2 linked regions of the Rhinolophus ferrumequinum genome follow. The main gene of each other region encodes a partner of the protein of the gene in region 2 in a complex. Links are inferred from orthologs where the notes say so. Each region holds a gene or a part of one and is shown on either strand. Other genes may lie near its edges.

Region 1 (7,551 bases), about 3.3 Mb from region 2:
CCTACCTAACAAGCACCAGTACGACGGTTTCCAAAGCTCTGACCAGGCGAGACTGCAGCTGCTGGAAGAGGTGCTGTGAACTGAATAAAATCAGGAGGTGAGTTTGAGGGAGAAACATTCCATATTTACATAATGGTCTGAGGGCTGAAATTCATCTCCCTTCCCATGGTTACCGCTCTTCCCTGACCCCAGAAAGAAACTGCCCCCAGTGGCATCACCATTGAGCCATACACCCACACATACACCGTTCATCCTAGTTTTGGGGGAGGTGGTCAGTGGAGAGGGGAGAAAACACCACGAGGGACAGTGATATCTCCAGGGTCACGGGCCAATAGAACGCAGGCCAACGCCAGCATCTAAATACCATCAGCATCCTTCCATGTAATGATGAATAAACTCAGTAGGAGGTGGCAAAGTCAGGGCAGGGGGGCAGCTGTCTCTAAGAGAGCAGAGAACAAAGGCTCAGAGAAAAAAGAAACCCAAAGAAAGGTTTGTGGGAATCAACCAGAAAGAGGCCACAGCCAGAGCGGAAGGTGTGAGGAGAAGCCAGGACCACAGGAGAAGGGAAAAGGAGACAACCCTCAGGGCCTGGAAACAGAGACAGAGGGATGATAAGGACCAGGTCCATATGCTCAGGAAGGTGCTTGCCCACAGGCAACACCTTCTCTGTCTTCCAAGATGAGCCAAAAGAGAGAATTCTTTGTCAGATAAGACCCAGGGAGTGTCTTGTCCTTATTTTGCTGTCCATCCCACCTGCCTTCTGCATTTGAGACCAGGCACTGACCCCGGATCATTTGTCACAATTCCTCCATCAGTTCCCAGGATGAGTCCAGGCACAGACCCACTACCTGAGAAACAAGGTGGGAGTTGAATGGCAGGCAGTGGCACGTTAGGGTGATGAGTGAGGGTTATACACGGGACTCCTGGAAACACCCTAATTCCAACACCAGAGTTTCTCAGGACTGAACTAGCCACACTTTCAGGATTTTGACTCAATAAAACCTGCCAGGGAGTATCATCTTTTCTCAACATTCACAGTATCAAAGGGGGAAAAAAATCATGCCTAGAAATTTCTATCTGCCTCTCTCTCTCTTCATCAAGGTACAGGTGATGAATGACCACAGCAGCGAGGGAAGAAGGTTTTCAGGCCAAAAGGATAACAAGCAGAGTGCAGAGATGAGCTAAAGGTGTACAGTTCAGGGTGAGGGGCTCCTGGGCAAACTCAGAAGCAGGACTGGTCTGGGGGCGGGGTGGTCCTGGTTACTTGGGCAAATGCCAGAAACGGAGGCATTTCCTAAGGCAGGATTTGTTCCCTAAAAGGACTCTGTTGAACCACATCCAGCCGTTCACCATCACAAGGGGACTGGAAGCAGAGCTAAGTTTATATCCCCTGGGTGCTTCATTCCTGGAGTTGTAAAAAGAGGCTGGTTTCCTGTTCTCTGGGCTTTGACTTCCCAAAGGGCTTACTGGCAGCTAGAGTAGTCGGGTTGGAGGCAGTCAGGGTGAAATCAGGGACTGCCATATTTTGAGCTCTTGGTAGAAGTTTTGGTAGGAGGCAGCCCCCACCGCCTCCCTAATGTAAGCAGTGAAAGATGCCCAGCAGGTTTCACACAGCAAGAAGTGTTAACTCGGAGAGTCCTGCCTACAGGGTTTAAGAGAACAAGTCCTCCAGGCTCAGCAGGAAAGACAAGCAACCCAGTTGCTTTACAATAGGAGACACCACGTGCCCTTGGTCAATGTGGGACAGATAAATCTTTATTCCTTCCTCACCCAGGAGGCCTCCTTTACATATCTCCTCCATCTCTAACACCATCCAGTTCACACACTAAGTCACTTGGTACTCTTTCCTGCAGGGTTCTAACATTGGTCAGTTTCCTATATTGAAGAAGCTCTGGTTTGACTCAAAACCAAATGTAACAAGTCTACACCAAAGTGCCTCCATGCCATGAAAACTAAACCCTGGATCCCCATCCAGGATTACGGAATTGGTAAAATTCTTACACTCGTACTTCATGGACTCCACCAATCCTTACTTTGCTTTGTAAATGCCCCTAGTACCTCGAACCTGTGTCCGGGTTCTGAAGAAACGGAGACGAGGGTACACGAGGCGCTGATTTATTGCATGTCAAAGCAGCAAGGGTGAAATTGACTTTAGAGACTCCGCAGAAACATGGTGATGCCACGAATGACGAGGACAAGGGAAGCACATTAAGAGGGATGGGGCTGCGGGGGACACTGGGGGGTGGGGAGTGGGCACCCGGCAAAGGCTCTCACCTGTGGATGTTCATCTCCCGCGGAGGGCGGTGGGCCTTGTCATAGGAGACCTTGGCGAAGACACCGGCCACGATGACGAAGGCGATCACCCCGCAGGTGATGTAGACGGTGAAGTTGGTCTTGTCCTTTTCCGGGTCGTACTTGTTTTCGGGCCCCGGCGACACCACCTTGGTGCTGGGCGTCTGTACCCACCCCGGGCTCTGGTAGTTGTTGCACTGGCGCTGGTCCAGCTTCTCGTGGCGCTTCTTGCAGCAGAAGCGGTAGTAGCAGGTGCCGCAGCAGTACAGGTAGCCGCTCTCGCTGTTGTTACACTCGAACTCCTTATCGTACTGGCCGCTCACGTCGTAGTAGCCCCAGCACGTCTCGTAAGTGACGGCCGCGCTGGCCGCCGCCACGGCCGCCGCGGGCTGTCCCCGCCGGCTCCCCGCCTCCGGGACGCCGGACGCTCGGGCGGTGCCGTTCAGCTCACGGCCGCCCCGGGCCAGTGCGCCCCCGGGCCGCCGGCCCCCGACGGCAGCGGCGCCGGCGCTCAGGGTCCGGTTGGCTGCACGGCCGCGGGCGCCTTGGGCTCCGGGCAGCAGGTCCAGGGACTCCAGCGAGAGCATCAGCAGCAGCAGCAGGAGGCTCCGCAGCGCCATGGCGGGGCCGGGCGGGAGGGCGCGAGGAAGCTTCCGCGGCAGGCCGCTGCCCCGGCCGGCGGGCTCCGAGGGCGACAGCGCGGGCCGGGTTAGCGGTGCAGGGCGGTCAGCGGCGCCGGGGCGATGGCGCCATCGAGGCGCGGACGATGGCAGCGGCGACGGCGGCGCGCGGTGCGCACAGACCGGCCGGGCGCGGGCTGCTCTGCTCTCACGCTGCGCGCGGGCTCCGCGCTCCCCCTGCGGGCTCGGCGCGCCTCCAGGGCAGCCCCATCCCCCGCAGGCAGCGGGAGCGGCCCCGCGCACGGATCGGCTCAGGCAGGACCCGGAGCGCGGCTCCCGGCGGCGGCGGCGACGTGGTCCTGTCCCGGCGGGTCCTGCGGGACAAGACGGGGAGCCGGTCACGGGGTGGGTCGATTGGCGCTCCCGGAGGAGGGAGGCAAGAGGCAGGCAGGGAGGGAGCGCGCAGCCCTCGAGGAGCTAGGCTCCGGGCCGGGAGGGGCGCGAACCCCGCTCCCAAGACGGGGCCCGGCGGCCCTGCGCGCCGGCCACCGAGGGCGCACCGGCCGCCCCCGCCGGGCACCGCTCGGCTGCCCAAGCCCCCGGCCGCCGGCCCGGCAGCGCGCTCCCGCCGCAGGCTGGCTCCCTGGGACGGAGCCGGCTGCGGCTGGGGTCGGGCAGCTGGCCTGGGGAGCGCGGTCGCTGGACCTCACTCACTCACCATGCCCGGCTGCGACTGCAGAGGCGGCGGCGGCCAGGCGGGAGCTCAGCGGCCGAAGCGAGCGAGCCGGGAGCCGCGGGCTCGCCGCCTGCACTGGTGCCGGAGCGTGTGCGAGAGGAGCAAGGGAGACACACGCACTCACACTCCCGCACACAAGGGAGCGCCGCGAGGGGAGGGGAGGGCAGCCGCTCACCGCCACCCACGTTTACACGCTCCGGAGCCCGGGGAGAAGGAGGGCTCTTCTCTGCTTCTCCCACCTCGCGGCACTTGAAGCTCCGCGTCACCAAAGCCCAGGACACCCGTTAATCAACATAGCGAACCAGGCCGGCAAAGCGGGGCCGGGAGCTTGGGAGGGAGTGCCCCTTCTGGAGCCGGCCCGCAGGAGACCAAACCTCCCCTGCCTTTGCTCCGTCCAGCCCTGGAGGCGGGTCCTGGGCTGTGCGCTGCCAGAGCTGGAGTTGGGGTTTCTGCAAGCCTTTGCTTCTCCCTAGTGGCGACGCTCGCTGCGGAGAGAAGAGGTCAAACCCATTGCTACAGGTTCCTAAACTGAGACCAGGGGTCAAGCGGCTTATGGGAGGTTATTGGGCTGCCGGTGAGGAGGCCCTACTCTCTTCCCCTTGAGCACTCTGCTCCCGCCCTGCCTCCAACAGGTGCACAGGCACCAGACAGCCGCAGCTGTTGAATGGCTCTTATTCCCTCTTTCCACGACTTTTTCCAGAGCACTGAGGCACAGTTAGATAAGCTCTCTGAGACTCAGCTTTGAAATCCCTCTGCTGTAGCTGAAGGGGAGAAGCGGAGTGGATAGGGCTGTTTTCCTGTAAAGTTGCTGGTCTGGTCTGTGAGAGGCTCAGGTCTAACTGTAACTCTCAAAGCCATGATGTTACCCCAAGAGGGAGTCACAATCGTCTCTTTGGTGTATGTGGGGGCAATGAGAAAAAGCAACAGCCACTGCCCAAATCCTGCCTTCATGTCGTGGCCGTGTGGGCAAGTGCCCAGAGAGCTTAGGCTGAAGGCAGAGAGCAGGTTGTGAGACTGCCCATGGGGGTTGGGGAGTAGAGACTGTCCCCAAGGCTGTCCATTCAGTCCCACTCGTGCATGACTCAAATCAAGGATTCCCCCCTTAGGGAAAGACAGAGAACCTCTTGTTGGAACTGTAGAATGGAGAAATTGAATTTGGAACCCAGATTCCAAGGCACCGGAGGGAGACACTGGTCCTAGGATGGTAGATGCACAAACTCCCCTGGCAACTTCCCACTTGCTGTGATCTCTCCATTCCCTCCGTCTTCGTCTGTACTTACTCCCATTCCCTCAACTTCATCTCAGCTGCCACCCTCTTCTTAACAATTCTGTTTTAGAACCATTTATTTGGTGCCTACCCTCTACCAGGCATTGTGCTAAGTGCTGAGATAACAGGATGAAAAAGCCGGTCCCTTTCCTCAAGGAGGGGGAGCTTGGGGAGACAGATAAACAAATGATCACCATATTGTGGTTATTATGTCCCATGATAAAGGTGGCACAAGTGCTCTGAGAGCACATGACCGGCACCAACCTAACCCTGGAGTCAAAAGGTGGGAGTCCACGGTAGCTTTCTGGATAGTTATGAGCAGAATCTTAAAAAAAAAAAAAAAAAAAAAAAAGATTGAGTTAATACAGCAAACAAGAGGGGAATGACACTCCAGCAGATGGAACATCATCAGCAAAATCAGGAAGACATGAAATAGTGAGGCTGTGTGAGCAGGGGATATAGCAGATTAGCATAAACTCTGAGGGAGTCTTCCAAGTAAAGCTGGCAAAAGGACATTATATCTCCTGCCAAAGAACTTGAATTTATTCTACAGTTGATGAGAAACTATTAGTGGGCTTTACGCAAGGGGAAGGCACTGTCAGATTTACACGTTCGTTGGATCTCTAAGTCAACTGGAATAAGGAACACTGCATGGGAGAAGAGCAATAGGGAAGCTGCTCTGACAATCCAGGTGAAAGTCGATGAAGGGATGCAGTAGCTTCCTGGGAGTTAGTTGGTGCCCACAGTGGAGATGACAAGCATAGTCAAAAAAGCAGGTCCAGGACAGCAGTGGTGATGGATATGTTGAAATGCCTTTAAGAGCTCTAACTGAAACCCCAGCACACGAGTTTCAAGCTCAGGAGAGCAGGTAAGAAAAGCATAGGCATTGGGGAATCATAATATAGGCATATACTGGGGGTGCCAAAAGAATGTATATGAGTGAGTACTTTGGTCAGCGTTGCTCAGGCAGTAGTTTGCCGTAATTAGAAGTGTCTGGATGCTGATGGTCACCACTTTGAGCACCTCTTGTAATTGCAGAAGTCAAACGTGACTTGTATTCATCTATTGGTTATCAGTATGTGAGTTGAGCATTACAATTTTAATAGTTTTTTTCCTTTCTTAAAATGTGTATACATTTCTTTGGCACCCTCTGTATATTTAGTAATCACAACATTTTCTTTACCCTCATACTATGTGCAGTTTTTAAGTCAGTCCCTTCCTTTCCTCTACCCGAAGCTTTCACCTCCTCTTTATTGGCCCAGAATTGCCTATTTCATATCTAGGAGCTTTCTCACAACGGGTAGAAATGTGTCTTCCTCCTATGGGATTCTACCAAGATTTGATCAATGGCACTAAGTAAGGGAAAATACTCTGGTTCCTCAGACAGCCACCACCCACAATTTGTTCTGAACTCCTGTGCTCATAACTGGTAGCATCAATTGACTCACAGAAAATAAGTATCGCCGAGTTGGATAGGATCTTAGGGATTATTTATTCCAACCCTTACTGTAGTACACTATATTTCTTTTTTTTTCAATTACAGTTGTCATTTAATATTATATTAGTTTCAGGTGTATAGCATAGTGGTTAGACATTTATGTAACTTATGAGGTGATCCCCCCAATAAGTCTAGTACCCACCTGACACTGTACACAGTTATTACAATATCATTGACTGTATTCCCTATGTTGTACCGTACATCCCCGTGACTATCTTGTAACTGCCAATTTGTACTTCTTAATGCCTTTACTGACACTTCTAACCCTCTATGTTTGCCCCTTATAGTAGTCCAGATTGGCTGCCTACCAACATCCATTTCCCTACTTTCTCCTTCTAGTTTTGATACCTATTGTTGACAGTATGGAAGTGTCCTTCCTTTGTGGATTTGATTCATTAAAAAGTGCCAAAGAAAAATCATTTTTTTCAACACCTACACCAACTTCAGACAGCCCTTAGCTCAAGGAAAGTGACCAAATCCCTGGCTCTGGAAGATTGATCCCAGTTGGGCTGGCTCGGCCATAATAATCTCATTCCCCTTGCCAATGATTTGTTAAGAATGGACATGTGATCCAGTTCTGGCCAATACAAAGTGAGGGAACTGTTGAGAGATTCTGGGGAGATTTTCCTTGCTGTTAAAACTAGTGGAAATTCCTCTACTTTTCTGAGTGTTGTTTCTCTGGATGTTATGATCTTAAGGCAGGGGGTTGGGGGAGTGGCCAAAACCAGTTATTAGTTGAAGCTGATATTCAATTTAATAGTTATTAGTGCTGCTCACTAAATATCTCTGCCATCCAAACCTATAGTTGAATTGCAATTCTGGGTCCATTTGTGAGTAGAAGTAGAAAGTGACTTAGTAGTACTGGTCGATAAGTCATGAGCAGAAAGGATGTGCATTATTTCTGAAGCGGAGCATCTAATTTCCACTTCAAGAAACTCTGAAGTTCTTGTTTTCTTCAGGCATAGTGACCAGCAATGCTCTATGTGGAAGTGGCTTTATCAGCCTGTAAGTGACTACAGTGAGAAGAGGCCCCACACAATAAAAATAGTGCCCCACCATGGACATGTAGCATGAGTGAAAATGTACTTTTTCTTCTTAAAGCCACTGGAATTGGGGTCCGTTATTGCAGCATGTCCTA
Region 2 (6,965 bases):
AGAGATTCATTAGGATTTGGGAACCCGGGTGAGGTCCATGGCCCTAGTGGGCCTGCATGTAGTTTGGTGTGTGTGGAGCAGGAGGGTATACACATTGGGAGAGTCAGCATCCCATAGACCGCCAGATGCTTGGCAGAGACCTTAGCCCCAGGGTTGAGGGAGGAGCTGAATCTGGGATACTGGGAAGTGACTGAGGGGCTGGCTCCCTCACCTGGGTGTTGCAGAGGCCCACGCCACCCAGTTCACTGGGCACTTGCAGACCAAAGGCCCCCAGCTCCTTGAGGCCCTGCATGGTGGGCTCCTCCACCTGCTCCAGCACGTCATTCTTGGCAGGATCGTTCACCTCCTGGGGAAGTCACAAGATCCCACATCCAGGCTCCTTTTGAACTTCTTAATCTCTTCCAACCCATAGAGGACCATGCCCTCTTTCCCAGCCCCAGTAATTCCTCACCTCGAAAAAACGGGACACAGGCCCCACCAGTTCTTTGAGAAACTGCATCTGCTCCTCGTTGAGCACTGCAGGGCAGCAGGTATGGGCAGGTCATGCCAGGCAGGTCAGGGGAACCCACCTGCCCCCACCTATCTCTGACTAACTCTTACCAGACGGGTATGGGAACACCTGATCCGTGGTGAGCTGGCCCTTGAACATCCCCACAGCAAAGGACTTAGATTCCTGCGCCAGGAGAAGGGGGTTTCAGGGGGCTGGCTGAGGTGGGTCCACACCTCGCTTAGCTCCTCCAGGCTTTGGGTCACATACCGCCTTGGCCCGTTTCTCCTTGGTCGAAGCCTCAGAAGAGAGAGAATCTGACTTGTCCAGAACCGCCTGGGGAAAGCGACAGTTAGCGCGGCCGGGAAAGGGCTACCCAAGTAAGTGCCCGGGAGAGCTAGGTGCCGGGGAAGGGCGGATCCGATGACCTTTCCCCTAGTTTCGTCCCCAGGCACCCTGGCCTGCCCTTTCCCCTACTTTTTGTGCCAAGCCAGTCGGCAGATGACTGGCATTAAGAGGGAGACCCTTATCCACGTCAGGGAGGTGGGAGACGCGTCGGACGCCCACCCCGAGCATCCCTCTTCCACCGTCCCAAAGCCGCCGTCACCTACCTGAGTGGCCGCATTGGCATAAGGTCGTCGGGCAGGGCATGGCTGGGGCTGCCCCAGGAGAGAACAGGGCCGCGAGCTGTGGGGAGTTGGGGGTTCAGTCCTGGCCGGGTCCCCAGGCCCGCTGCCCCCATCCCTCCCGGCGTATACACACCTCCCGCACCCCAACCTCAGCAGCTGTCGCCCCACTCTCGGAGCCGTCCTCGCCGCCTGCATCTCTGAACCGCTCCGGCTGTCGCTGCTTTGAGCTCTGACCTAACGCTCTACTCCCGTCAGCCAAGGTCTGAGTCCCCCCCACCTCTGACTCATCCCCCACAATGCCCCGGGAGGCGGGCGGAGCTTTCCGGCCGCCAGGGCATGCTGGGAGCTGTAGTTCCGAGTGCTCCTGAGTCCTGCATTCTGGTTGACCTAGGGTGATCTCCAAACGTCCCTTGTCTTCCCAAAACTCCTTCCTCCCGTCTGTCCGAGCTAGAGAGTAGTCTTCAGAAGGCGTGATGGGATACGCTGGGACTGAAGAAGTTTGCAGCCAGAGGGATGTAGGGTAGACTGAAAGGAGAACTTCCCAAGAAGAGTTAGAAAGGAGAGGTGGGAAGAGAGAAGTATAAATAGAAGCAGTGGCATAGAAAGACGACTCTGGGATCTCTCCAAGTCCATCTCCACAAAAGGGAGAGGAATGGCGGGGTGGGGGACTCGAACTGGGGTGTGACTGTCCTAAGCATATTCTCCTGAGACCTAGGAAGTATCACTAACTCTGGAAACACCTAAATTTTCACAGTAGCAAGGACCTCCTCTTCCCTCCTGGAGTTCACTGCCTCCCATGTAGGGCCACTGAGACCTTCCTCAACATCTGTCTCTCTCTCTGCAACCCCTTCCTTCCTGAGACCATGTGCTCAGGCTAGACCTCTGGGTAGATGGAGTCTTCCCAGGCCTGGGAAGAACTATAGGAATTCTCATGTTTCCACACTTCTCTACTCCTGGGCAACATGTCCCAGGTAATTTATGCCCATCTTTCTGCCATTCTCACTGGGGACAGGCACTGGAGGAGAGAGAGCTGAGCTCAGTTTCCTTTATTTTTGAGCTATTGGGGCCTCCTTGGGGGTGACCCTCGTTCTCAGTCCCTTAGGAAAGTGTAGCTAAATTGTGCCTGGCTTTGGGGAGAGGGGCCCAGGGTATGTGGAACAAGGTGGTGGTGGAGGTGCCTGGGGACCTAGGGAAGAATGGGACATCACTGGGTTTGTTCTGAGAACGCTTATTTGACCTAAGAGCTAGAATTGGGTGGGGAGAAGGCAGCTCAGCTCTAATCCTGGGGGATTAGGGAGATTAAAGTGAGAGAAGAGAGAGATGTCAGAGAGACCAAGAGGTGAAAAATAGAAGTCCTTGTGAAGCAGAGGCCTGGGGGTGGAGTGTGGGGCTGAGACTCAGGATCCTTCTCCCTGACCTTTCCATAGAGTCTGGGGTGAAAGGGCAAAGGCTGGGAAAGATGAGGTGAGTGAGGGCATTGGTCCTCACTTCCTTGTTCTAATTCGCCCACCCTCACTTGCATTTCACCAGCTCCCAGGTCAGCCCTCTGGCTCCTGGCTCCCCCACTATTGCGATGGGCACCCCCTCTCCTCACAGTGCTGCACAGTGACCTCTTCCAGGCTTTGCTGGGTGAGTAGTCCCAATTTTCTGAGGGGCAATGGTGGAATGGTCTGGCCTAAGCTTGTGAGGGCAATTACTGAATTTGGGGGCTGGTTGGGAGCCTGGAGATTATTTGGTCCAAGCAGGAGTTTCATGCAGGGGTCTGGCTAACAGTGTCCCTCCCTGAGGGACTATCCACTAGCCTTGGCTGGAGGAGCTCCTCCCTTACCAGAAAGAAGGAAGCGAAGTGATGGCAGGGGTGGCCAGGGAGGCAGGGGTGGGGGAGGGTAACTCAGTGCTGTTCCTGTGACAGACATCCTGGACTATTATGAGGCTTCCATCTCAGAGAGTCAGGTAAGGGGGTGAGGGTGGGGGCCTGACTTCCTGAGGGAGGAGGCAGGGTTGAAGGGGTAAGCAAAGTACTCCTGATATTGAACTGAGACTTTGGGATCCTGGGGACAAAATCCTGAGTTAGGGGCACAAAGAATGCACTCTCCTGTCCTTTAGCCCCTTCTCCCTCTGGCTTCCTCCTTTCCTTTGCCTGCCCCCATTTCTGGCACTAAAGAGTACAGGATATAATTACTTTGCGGGTTTCCTTCTGTGAATCCTGAGGGAGAACTAAGCCTGGGATTCCCTCCTGCCAGCCCCTCCCTCAGCCCTGCCATGGCCTGTCCAGTATTTAAACAAACATGGGTGCTCCCAGCCCAACTATGGGTGCTTTCTCCTCTAATAAATGAAATCCACCCTCGTCATGTCTGCTGTCCTTGCTGGTGGTTGGCCAGGTCTCCATGTTTGCCTCAGGGCCTCTCCGCTTCTGCTTCCATATCCTTTCCCATTATCCGGGTTCCTGCCAGCACTGAAGGAGTTAACTCTGCCAAGGCACCCCCCCATTCTGGCTCCTCGCTCCCTCCCTCCCTCCCCCTGCTTCCTCTCTCCTCCTCTCTCCCCTTCCCTCCTCAGCTTCACCGCTCCCTCGGCCGCTGCCGCCTCCAAGCCCCCCCCCCTCCCCTGCAAAGGCCCCTAGCCTCTGGCCAGTAGGCAAGACACCCCCCCCACCCCGGGGCTCCCCGAAATCCAGTTTCCCTCCCCCACCTCAGCTCATGCCCCAGCCCCCGAGCCCCGGGGCTGCCAGCCCCCGGTGCCCCCGCCCCTCCTGAGAACCGGGGTGTGCTCCCCAAGCCCCCTCCCCTCCATAGGGGACCCCCTTTTAGGGCCCCCTTCCCCTCCCTCCCACGCTCCCCTACCCTTCCCTTCTCCAACACCCTCTTTCCCCTCTCACCCCTCCCCCCATCCTGGCTCCCCCTGCAAAAGTGGGGTGCGGAGGGGGGAGGGGTGAGAACCCACGGAGGGGAGGAACAAAACTCCGATGAAGTCAGAGCCCCTAACCCGCCACCGCGGCCAGGCCCCCCAACATGGACTGTCTCTGTATAGTGACAACCAAGGTAAGCCTGATGGGGGGACTCTAAACTGGGGGGAGGGTATGAGTTTGTGGGGAGGGGTTAGACAGGTCTAACCTGGGGCTGGGGAGCATCAGAAGATGTATTTGGGGTCCTAATTTAGTTTTGGGGTTTCCATTTGAGAAAACGCTGGGTTTGGCCACAGGTGCCCCCTGGAGTGATCTCTTTGGTAGAAGTGGAAAATTTGGGGTGTTCTGTGGTTTGGGGGTCTGGTGGTTTTGGGGGTTCACCAACAATGTTTGAGGGAGACTTATTTGAGGAGAAGCCTGGCTCACATGGGAGTCCTGCTTGTGTATGTTAGAAGGTTGACTATGTGGGGGGGTCGTCTTTCCTCCTGGTGAACAAGCTGGCTTCCAGGTGCCTTGTCCAATTTCAGGGGTGTTCTGGTATGGCATGGGGGTAGGAAGTTATTGGTTGTGAGTGCCTGACTGGTCTGGGGGTATCAGACTGTGGGAAGGGGCTTGCTTTCTTTCTATAGAACCAGCATCTCCTGGTAGATACATTTGGGGGTGCTCTCAATTTGAGGAAACTGTTAATTTAGGGTGCAGTCACATGGAATGGGGAGAGCTGGGAGTTGTCGGAGAGCTGGGGCCTGACATTCACCTGAGGGAATGGACCAGGTGAGGTTAGGATCTGGGGCACTCCCATGGGAGGCAGAGGGTTGCAGCAGCTGAGGTTGCCAGCTCCTGAGGTTTTGGAAGAGAGGGTATTTGAAGAGGGGAACCAGGTGGGTGGTGCAAAATTTGGGGGTGGCCTAAGTAGGTGCCCAATACCCCCATCTCCTCCCACACTCTATCTACCCTTGGTTGAGAAAGAGGGAGAAGAGCAGATGGAGGGGAATGTTCCTGTTACCCCTGACACTTGGGATCATAGTCGGGGAGGACACCTGGATTTAAGGTGACTGGAGTGAAAAGAAATAGGACGGCTGGGCTGGCAGCAGTGAGGATCTGTACTAGGGTGTCCCTGTGGTTGGAGCCTGGAAAGGGAAGAAGAGCTTGGATGGGGAGCACAAGCAAGCTCCTGGTGGATGCAGAATACCTAGGTCTTGGCTGTGAGACTCTCGGACTGGAAATCTGGATGCTTGGTGTGTGCAGGGTGGCTTGGGCGGGTGGCAGGCAGCTGGGGGTTGGGGGGTGGGACAGGAAGTGGGGGCCGGGGAGGCGGGGTCTGGGTGAGTCACTGGCTGGGGAGGGGGTTATATTTAGTGGGAACTGCAGCTTCTCAGAGGAGGGAGTTGAGGACACACATGTTCCCTGCCACAAACTCACACATGTGTGTACACATGCGTCGTGTGCGTGTGAACATGGATGGAAGAGGTTGGGGGCTGAGGACCTTTAGGTCTGGAGCCCCCACCCTATCTCCAGGGCTACTTGCTGGTCTCCTTTTCTGTGAGCTTTCTCCTACGCTGCTTCTTTTTCCCAACCCTTGTAGTGTCAGTAGATTTTGGGGGCTTCAGTTTCTCTGGCCTGCTCTCCTTTAATGTCCTCTGGTTCTCTGCTCCTCCTGCCTCCAGCCCTTAGCCTTCCCCTTAGCCTTAGGCTCCCTGGCTGTGGTCCCGTGTGCAGGTGTACACAGAAAGCCAGTTGGAATGTGTGGGCTCTGCTTCCAACACGTGAACACATATGTGAGCGAGGGTGAGGGGCTTGCCTGCACTGACATTCTGGGAAAGGGGGCTTATCCATATCTCTTCCAGACTCTTACTTCTTCGATAGAGCCCAACGTTGAGCATCCATTAAGTAAGGAGCCTTGCGCAGAGAGGATCATACATTTGGGATCCTACAGAGGCATGGAGATCCAGGGTTGCCACATTCCTTGGCCGGAAAACTTGTCAGTCTTGGGATGGCGGGGACTCCAACTCCCATAAGGCCTTGAGGCACAAAATCCCTCAGTGTTAGGGGATTGCTGCCCGTGGGGCTGTTGGGAGTTGTGGTTCAGCTTTATCCAGGGCAGTGGAGGGTAGCCCTGGAAGAGCCAGGAGGGGACACATGGCTCTTGACCCCCCAAAATAGGGGGTGCTTAGGCTTTGCGGTCGTTGAGCTTCCCAGCTCCATCTGAGAGTCCTCCATCTTTCATTGCCTATATTTAGACTCCTGCCGCAGTAATTTAAGGAATACTTATTGAAAGCCTACCTTGTGCCAGGCCCTGTGCTTTGTGCTAACTCTGCCTTTACAGCTAACACTTATTCTTACGCTGTGTGTCTCTCTCTGCCGGTGTCTCTCGATCTCTGAGCATCTCTTTCTCCCACTCCGCCCCCATCCCTCCCTCTTCTCCCCGCGCTGCTGCCGCCGTTGCCATGGTAACCGGCGACGACTGAGGTTGCGTGGTGGACTTGAGGGCCGGGCGAGGGTGGCGAAGGGCGGAGCAGAACTAGTGGGGGAGGGGGCGAAGTGGGGAAAGACCCGGGGTATTTGGCCAGAGCCCAGGAGGCGAAGCGGTTAAACCCTCCGGGTGGTCCTTATTGGGCAAAGCTAAAATGACGGGGGCGGGGCAGTTTGGCCAACAGCCTCATTCATTGGCCGACAGGGGCGTGGCGAAGGGACAGTGTGGGCGAGGCCGGGGTGGGTGGGGGGGAAGAGCAAATGGGCGGGAAGTGGACGGAGGCGTGGTCTCCTGGAGGCGGGTGGGCGGGGTCTGGCTTACTCTCAAGGGAGGCGGGCAACAGCCCTTGGAACGGGGCGGGGCCTTAGGGCTGGGTAACCTGAAAGTGAGGGCAGGTCTGGCCTGGCAGGGGCGTGACGTGGTCCCTTGTGTCGAAAGAAGACAGGGTTTGAGGGGCTTGTTGCCTAAGTCACT

The links. Proteins that work in one complex are often made in the same cells at the same time.
Region 1: DLG4 (region 2) and SHISA6 share a complex: the UniProt entries of both Homo sapiens proteins name them as parts of the postsynaptic hippocampal AMPA-type glutamate receptor (AMPAR) complex. The link is inferred for Rhinolophus ferrumequinum from reciprocal best matches to the Homo sapiens genes DLG4 and SHISA6.

Annotation. Positions count from the first base shown.
Region 1 is NC_046304.1:8,306,036-8,313,586, forward strand, and holds the start of SHISA6 (protein shisa-6), read right to left. Parts: upstream 3,016-7,551; 5' UTR 2,913-3,015; coding exon 2,275-2,912; intron 1-2,274. UniProt on the Homo sapiens protein: Involved in maintenance of high-frequency synaptic transmission at hippocampal CA3-CA1 synapses.
Region 2 is NC_046304.1:11,614,588-11,621,552, forward strand, and holds the start of DLG4 (disks large homolog 4), read left to right. Parts: upstream 1-3,929; 5' UTR 3,930-4,127; coding exon 4,128-4,157; intron 4,158-6,965. Other genes in the region: ACADVL (very long-chain specific acyl-CoA dehydrogenase, mitochondrial), read right to left, coding at 212-346, 452-516, 601-673, 758-823, 1,099-1,174, 1,250-1,311. UniProt on the Homo sapiens protein: Postsynaptic scaffolding protein that plays a critical role in synaptogenesis and synaptic plasticity by providing a platform for the postsynaptic clustering of crucial synaptic proteins.